Schizosaccharomyces pombe: one gene and its partner. The protein of the gene in region 1 interacts with the protein of each later gene in a pairwise test. Each region holds a gene or a part of one and is shown in the gene's direction. Other genes may lie near its edges. The genes, in order: prp45 and uaf2.

Evidence for each region.
Region 2: the proteins of prp45 (region 1) and uaf2 interact in a two-hybrid assay, tested with the Schizosaccharomyces pombe proteins (one study listed by BioGRID).

What each region holds. Positions count from the first base shown.
Region 1 is NC_003421.2:1,500,370-1,505,164, forward strand, and holds prp45 (Prp19 complex subunit Prp45), read left to right. Parts: upstream 1-2,273; 5' UTR 2,274-2,322; coding exon 2,323-2,351; exon of another isoform or gene 2,352-2,394; coding exon 2,395-3,946; intron 3,947-3,994; coding exon 3,995-4,087; 3' UTR 4,088-4,295; downstream 4,296-4,795. Other genes in the region: SPOM_SPCC188.14 (uncharacterized protein), read right to left, coding at 602-841; septin Spn6, read left to right, coding at 4,572-4,630, 4,693-4,795. UniProt on the Schizosaccharomyces pombe protein: Involved in pre-mRNA splicing.
Region 2 is NC_003424.3:5,323,428-5,326,953, forward strand, and holds uaf2 (U2 auxiliary factor small subunit Uaf2), read left to right. Parts: upstream 1-2,166; 5' UTR 2,167-2,183; coding exon 2,184-2,834; 3' UTR 2,835-3,008; downstream 3,009-3,526. Other genes in the region: ski7 (ski complex-interacting GTPase), read left to right, coding at 1-856, 897-981, 1,019-1,379; SPOM_SPAP8A3.07C (phospho-2-dehydro-3-deoxyheptonate aldolase), read right to left, coding at 3,293-3,526.

The sequences.
Region 1 (4,795 bases):
CTGGTAAAGTGAAAGTATAGGTTGTAGCTATGGTTCCGCTATCAATTGTCGTGCGTATAGTGCTATGGTTCGCAACTGAACTAGAAGACTTTGAGGAAGGATAAATGGTTGTGGTGTATTCAGAAGTTCCTTCTGAAAAAATCGTAATATAATCGGGACAAGTGTACAAGGAAGAGGAGGAGGTTTGAGATATAGTCCGCTTAGCAAGTCCAATTGATACACGAGGTTCACTAAGAACCACCGTAAAAATGCTTAAAAAAAGGAAGACTAGAGTGGAAAAACGAAAAGAAAACATGAACGACTTAGATTATTAACAAATTAAACGCGGGCTTTGTAAGATTTGAAATGAGTGACTAGAAAAGAGGGACTAGGCGGAATTAAAAAAAAACAAAAATAAAAAAACTTCAAAAATTAAGTAGTCCGCCTCTCGCATCAGATAGTTTTCGCTCAAAAATTGGAAACCAAATATTGTACAGAACAAACGCAGAAAGTCAAAAAGAAGTAGAGACGAAACCTGATTCAATCGAATAACACAGGCTGGTCTTATCGATCAAATTAAACGAAACCGCTCTCTATATGACAACTTTAACCGTGAGAGCAGTCAAAGTACGTTTCTTCTACGAGTGTTTCTTATTGAAAGTATAAAGTATTCTGGGTAAACAGCAAACTGTGGGATGAATAACCAGCATCGTGAAAGTGGCCAGTTTGGGGAGTTTTTCATAAACTTAGCGTATATGCCGGTAACCATGTTATAAACAGGCACATTACTTGACGGGAAATCGTTCCACGAGTCCCCAAGTGAAAGAAATGTAAATATAATAAGCGAAATTGTCGTGGGCATCAGTACTATACAAAAGTTGAGGTTTTAGCTCAGACAACTTTTTACCTACTAAACCAAACCTGGTTATGAGCAACAGACCCTTATTATAACATTAGCAATCAACAACAAAAATTTTTATAGTATTGATTTTTGATATCTTGCGTTCGTTCCGCTTTATCGGAAAGACTTTGGCAATTTTACCGATTCTCTAGAATCATGTAAAGTGACGAAAACAGAAGGCAGAAAGTCCAACCAAATATGGGCAAAAAAAACAACCACTTCAATAAATTGTTCCAGTTAACAGCAGTTTAGTTGTGTTCAAGTCAATTACCAGCGTTTCGCGTGAAACGTTACAGAAGTGTAAATAATGAAATACTGTTGCTTTCTCTTTGACTCTCATTCTTACACAAGGTCACTTTGCATAGTAGACCGTTGAAAAAGTAAAAAGGAATAGAGGAGAAAACAAGATTTGATTAATTTTTAACCACACCCAACGTATCCGCAAAATCTCATTGATTCAGTAACATTGACTATATGGTTCTTTCGGTAAGTTTGACTCGTTATTAAATAAAAAAAATAGAGGCAAATTGTTTGAATTATGTTTGCTATCAAATGATATCCATTGAGTTAAAAAGTACGCGATTTGATAGTCTCATGAAGACACACATAAAGAGAGAAAAATCCATCAACTCCACTTAAATTTAAAAAAAGGTGAGGTACATATAGAAACTTTAGTACAATTCGTATTGATCGCCTAAATCAATATTTTTGAAGTATTGAAAGTTCAAACATGCCTTACAGCTCATTTCTCATTACTTTGTAAGGTAGCTGGCTAATGACAACTATATATAGGCATTGAGCCATAAGTATGCTAACTTTCACTATTCATCGCTTGGCAAATCTTTTTCTTTATTAAATGTATCTCCTATAAACGTGGCACTACTTTTTTGAAAGTTATAAAGCACGTTGGGAGCTAATTTCAACTTTATAAACTTCGCAAAAAGTGAAAGAAAACACAAAGGTATAGATAGTTACAAGCCGCATTGCTAAGTTGATCTGATAATTCTTAACATCTAACGTAATCGAGTGTGTCGGAATAGTATTTATGAAAACTGTGAGATATCCCACTGAAAATGATTTATGTTGTCAAAAGCATCGTTAATACACTTAAGAATTACGCATTTCCTCGTGTGCCTTATTCGCAATAATTCTACTGTGTTGCTCACACTAATGCTAACAAGTACGGAATCCTAACTTAGGTGACCTAGCGTAATACTAGCTTCATTTACCAGTTGTTGTAATGCGTGCATTGATTTTCTTTCATACATTCTTGCAAGTAAATTTCCAAGTAATTTGAGGATTTATTTATTAAATTATTTCTCAAAGCTGCGAGAGCTTTTGGATTCATTCGAACAGAATTCATATGTCCATTATATCCATACAACTCGTACTCAACACCACTTCACACATCTGAGTGGAAAGTTGTTTATTATTTTCCAAAAATGGCCCTTTTATCCGAAGAACTTTCTAGGTAAACTTATATTTTTTTCTCAAATTCACTAACAACGCCGCAGTATACTTCCAAATCCTGATTTCGACGATGAAGAGGAAGATTATGTGGAGAGGGAAACATCACATGCAGATGAAAGACAAATTGGTGTCAAATTTCACATTCCTCCCTATGGACAAAGAAAGGGATGGTTTCCTTCTTCACCTGAAGACTTTGGCGATGGTGGAGCTTTTCCCGAAATCCATGTAGCACAATATCCTTTGGATATGGGCAGAAAAAGGTCAGCTAAATCTGCTGGTAATACATTGGCTCTACAGGTCACTTCTTCGGGCGCTGTTGACTATAATGCCATTGCTCGACAAGGTCACGAACATGGAGAGTTGGTACAGGCAAGCTTTCGAGATTTGATCCCCTTACGTGCACGACTAGGTGTGGGAGAAATTTCGTTAGAGAAACCGTCTGACGAGCAAAAGCAAGAAGTAGCGAATAAAACTAAGCTTGCCTTACAAAAAATACTTTCCAAACAAATCGCTCAGTCTCAACCTAAAAGTGCTGTGGTACAACAACGTGACGATCCTGTATACATTCGATATACTCCTAGCAATCAAATGGGACAAGCACTTAGCAAACAGAGGATTATCAAAATGGTCACAGCTGAACAGGATCCCATGGAACCACCAAAATTCCGTCACAAAAAGGTTCCTCGTGGACCACCTTCTCCTCCTCCTCCCGTCTTGCATTCTCCTCCACGAAAAGTTTCTGCTCAAGAACAACAAGATTGGCAAATACCTCCGAGTATTTCTAATTGGAAAAATCCGAAAGGCTACACTATTCCATTGGATAAGCGGCTGGCCGCTGATGGTCGTGGTCTTAATGATGTTGAAATCAACGATGGATTTGCCAAATTTTCTGAAGCATTGTACACGGTGGAGCGTCAAGCTCGTGAAGAGGTCCGATATCGTGCCATAATGCGCCAAAAGATGGCTGAAAAGGAAAAGCAGGAAAAGGAGCAACGTTTATTTATGCTTGCTCAAAAAGCAAGGGAAGATCGTATGGGTAGAAATGCGGCTTCTTCGGGTCCTTCACATGCAAAACCCCGCTCTACTTCTGTCTCCTCTGAAGAAAGAAGTCGTTCCAGAGCTGGATCGTTCTCGCATCATTCAGAGTCAGAAAATGAAGATGAGGATTCAGAAGCTTTTCGCCGTCGTCAAGAACTTCGCCGCGAGCGAAGACGCCAAGCTGAAAAGGATCTTCGTCTCAGTCGAATGGGTGCTGAAAAACGTGCTAAGCTTGCTGAAAAAGATCGACCTCGTGATGTCGCTGAAAGGGTTGCTTTAGGACTTTCAAAACCATCAATGTCAAGCGATACAATGATCGATAGTAGATTATTTAATCAGGCTTCTGGCTTAGGATCCGGATTTCAAGACGAAGACAGTTACAATGTGTATGATAAACCGTGGCGGGCGGCACCTTCATCAACGTTATATAGACCGGGTGCTACTTTGTCCCGTCAAGTTGATGCATCTGCAGAATTGGAACGTATTACTAGTGAAAGTCGTTATGATGTACTAGGAAATGCGCATAAAAAGTTCAAAGGATCGGATGAAGTCGTAGAGGTATGTTTCAATATCTTATACTTTTACTTAAATACTAACTTTTCTTAGTCTCGTGCTGGCCCCGTCACTTTCGAGAAAGATATTGCTGATCCTTTTGGTGTAGATACTTTTTTGAATAATGTTTCTTCAAAGAAAACTTAATTCTATTCGATCCTTGACACTGTCAAAGAAAATGTACATTATTGTATGGTTTTATTCATTGGAATATGACTGTCTTAAAAATAAAAAAAAGTACAATTTACGTTTTGTGTTTTTTTTGGATCAAGGCAGTTAATTCAACAGAAGTTCATATTTAGTCTTAAAAATTAATGTTTATTCTTCTAATGATTAAAGAGCTAGTAAATTTGAGCATCGTTTTTATTTGTATTCTTGTTTCAACTCTGGTAAACCAGGATTATGAAAGTATTTTGGTACAAGATGTGAAAAAGAATTAAAAGTCTTCTATGTAGATAATTTAATTTGTATATTTAAAAATTTTTGATGAGGCATATTTATTTATTTATCTGTGCTTTTTATCACTGGACATTCGGTTGTTTGTTTATATTTCGCTGATAAACGCTGTTTGAAACAAACCTGAACCTACTAAAGAGCAAAATACAGATAGTTCGAGAAATAAATTTTTACGATGTCTTTGACTGAAAACCTTCAATTATTATTAAATTTGGATAGTCTACCATCCAAAAGGTATGTTATCGTTACAATCTAGTCATAAATTCATAAATCATTCATTAACAAATATACCACAGAGAAAATTTAATAAAAAGAAAAGAATGTGGTTTAACAATCATGCTTTGCGGAGCCTCAGGTACTGGAAAAACAACGTTCTTCAATACTCTTTTTGCTACTTCT
Region 2 (3,526 bases), on another chromosome or scaffold:
ACCTTACTTTCCCAAGATCAGTTAATTGAACTTTCCAAATTAGTAAAGCCTCGAACGAAACTCTTGTTGTTGGGCCCGCCCAAGTCTGGTAAAAAAACACTCCTTTCTAGATTATTTTTTCAAATTGGATCATTTGATCCCAAAACCATGCAAAAATGTACAGTACTGAATGCCAAAAAAGAAAGTTTGAGCTCAGTGCTAAAGTCCACCAAAACGAAATGGTATGATTTTGAAACATTTTCCAACAGTTACTCCTCAACTATTATTGATTTTCCTTTAGGAATCTTCACTACTAATGCAAGTTCTCGAGATAATTTTCTAAAACATTCAAGTTTGTTTCAAGTAATGAACACAGCCATTTTCACCATTGATTGTCTGAATCCTTTGGAAGGTCTTGATGGAATATCTTCCATTTTACAATTGATGAATGGCTTATCTATTTCAAGCTATATGTTTGCTATCACTAAGATGGATGAAATTGAGTGGGATGAAAATAAATTCATTAATCTTGTTAACTCGATTCAGAGCTTTCTGAAAGAAAGTTGCGGAATAATTGAGAAATCAAAATTCATTCCGATAAGCGGACTAAAAGGAACCAATCTTACATCCATTAGTCAAGAAAAATTATCCCAGTGGTATAAATCTGATACATTGCTTGGCAAAATTGATAAAGAAGCAGATACAAATCATGGCACATGGAATTTTCTTCTTAATCTACCTCTCTCTTTAACAATTTCACACATTACTCCTTTGCCAGAAAATCAATCACATATTTACTGTAGCATCCATTCAGGCATGCTTCAGGATTCGCAAAAGCTTTATGTAGGCACAGGGAGATTAGAAACACAAATCACAGGTACGGAAGGTGTTCAATTATTTTATGTTAATCAAAAAAGGACTGAGCAGTGATGAAAATCCCAAAGGGTTTAATGTTGCTGGGGATATGATTCAAGCCAAAATCCCTACATTACCCAATTTATGGTAAGTTCTTTGCAATTCTTGTATTTCTAATAAATAGTCCTGGGATTTTAATTGCTGATAGTATCGATGCCTTTACTTCTTCGAAAACTGCTTACGTTAATGCAACTTGGTTTCACGGTTCTCTTGAAAAAGGAAAGTCGATGCATGTAATAGCCCTATTCGGCTGTCACGCAGTCCTTACCAAACTGTATTGCTTTACAGACAGTCAAGAAAAAGCTCCTAACGCAATCGGAAACGATCTTGAAAGAAATCGAACCTCACTTGTGAAAATTGAATTAGAGAATGCTTTCCCTCTCGTAAAAGAAAGCTACATTAACACCTTAAGCCGCGTTTTATTCGTTTCAGAAAAATGGAATAGCTTAATTGCGTTTGGAACAGTACTATCTCTGCATGACTGAATCCCTAACTTACGTATTATACTCAACTCCATATTAATTTTGCATTCGAAAAAATTTTCCGTCCTTTTTAAAGAAATTCTCTATAGATTGTTTTAAATATTGTAAAACTACCGATGTTGTTCATTTGCGTACATCTCAGGCATCGTGACATTTGGAAACAATTTGTTCTCGAGTAAATTTCCTGAGCAAAAAAAAGGAATGTGCTGTGTTAAGAATAATTTATCTTTTTTTCTTTTGAATCGTTGGCACATCAGTCTAATAACAGTAACTACTTATTCTTGATATTTTCCAAATTCGAATATAATTAGGGAAATACAAGGGAATATCTGTATATCGGATAGTTGTAAGCTACGCAGTTTGGTATCTGATTTAAGGATACGTAGAACTGTGGTGAGTTTTCCTTGTGATCTATTATATTACAATACACAGGTTATATAAGTAGCAACTGAGTATAGGTATTGTATTAACTGGGTTATAATGTTACCTATCACTAATATAGCTCATAACTGAACTGAGGAACGAGGTTCAGCAGTAGCTCTATTTATAGTATTCAGATAATATAGATCTTAATAGATTATCATTAAGATCAATCTCCATATCGTATCATACATGGTACGATATATAATTAGAACATGTGACATATAGTGATACGCAACGTAGTGTATCATAGCGTAGTGTAGTACTGCTGACAATAGTGTGCAAGAATAATTTAGAAAATTTGCGTAACTTAACGAGATGTTGCACGCCACCATTATAAGACTAGAATCATGTTGGATCACTTTATTTCATAACCACCATATAAAAATGGCAAGTCATTTGGCAAGTATTTATGGTACTGAGCAAGATAAAGTCAATTGCTCATTCTATTATAAAATAGGAGCTTGTAGACATGGGGAACGCTGCTCTCGTAAACATGTCAAACCAAATTTTAGTCAAACGATCTTATGTCCCAACATGTATAAAAACCCAATTCATGAACCAAATGGCAAAAAGTTCACGCAGCGTGAACTTGCAGAACAATTTGATGCATTCTACGAGGACATGTTTTGTGAGTTTTCAAAATACGGTGAAGTTGAACAATTAGTCGTCTGTGACAATGTTGGAGATCACTTAGTCGGAAATGTTTATGTAAGATTCAAGTATGAAGAGTCTGCCCAAAATGCTATTGATGATTTAAATTCCCGATGGTATTCCCAAAGACCAGTCTACGCCGAGTTATCTCCTGTAACTGATTTTCGCGAGGCATGTTGCCGGCAACACGAAACTTCGGAATGTCAGCGGGGTGGCCTTTGTAATTTTATGCATGCCAAAAAACCAAGTCCTCAGCTTTTACGCGATTTGGTACTAGCACAAAGAAAGTATTTGGCCTTAAATGCAGCAGAAGAAATGAAAAAGGAGCCCAATAGTGATTCCACGAATCGATGGGTCAGTGTAACTGCTGAACGCAAAAATTAAATAGCAACTTATGGAATGTATTTGTTTTGGATTCTGGTTTGCTTTTGTACGGTTTTACTTCGTTTATTATGATTAATCTCTGGCTATAGTTTGTTGTGATTTAGGTTATTTAAATAGATGTTGCATTCTTTTATTGTTTACTAATAAACTTGATCTTTGTACAACTGTACTCATAGACGTTTTAAATTTTGTGTCCAATGTGCCTATGGCTGATTACAAGCTAAAGGAGATCGATTAGAAACATATGAAACGATCAAACATTTCGCAAAACTTGCACAGCAATTCTTAAAAACGAAGGTGTTATTGGTAGAAGCTGTGTACGATATAAGAAAAAAAAAACAAAAAAAAATAAATAGAACCCGTATTTAAGCCAAAATTGTTCAGTTGTTGTATGTTACGAAAAAATAAGTTTCAAAAATTAAAAAAATTAAAACTGCTGAATATAACATTTATATGTCTTAATTACTTTTTTGGTTTTGACGGCGAGCACGGACAGCTTCAGCAAGATCGTCTAGCATTGGAGCAGTTTGTTCCCAGCTAACACAAGCATCAGTGATACTGACACCGTACTTGAGAGTATCCTTAACGCCAGGACGGATTGGAGCATCTTGACGACCTTCATTGATATGAGATTCAATCATAACACCAACAATGGAAGAGTCGCCATTTCTGATTTGTTCGGCGATGCTCTT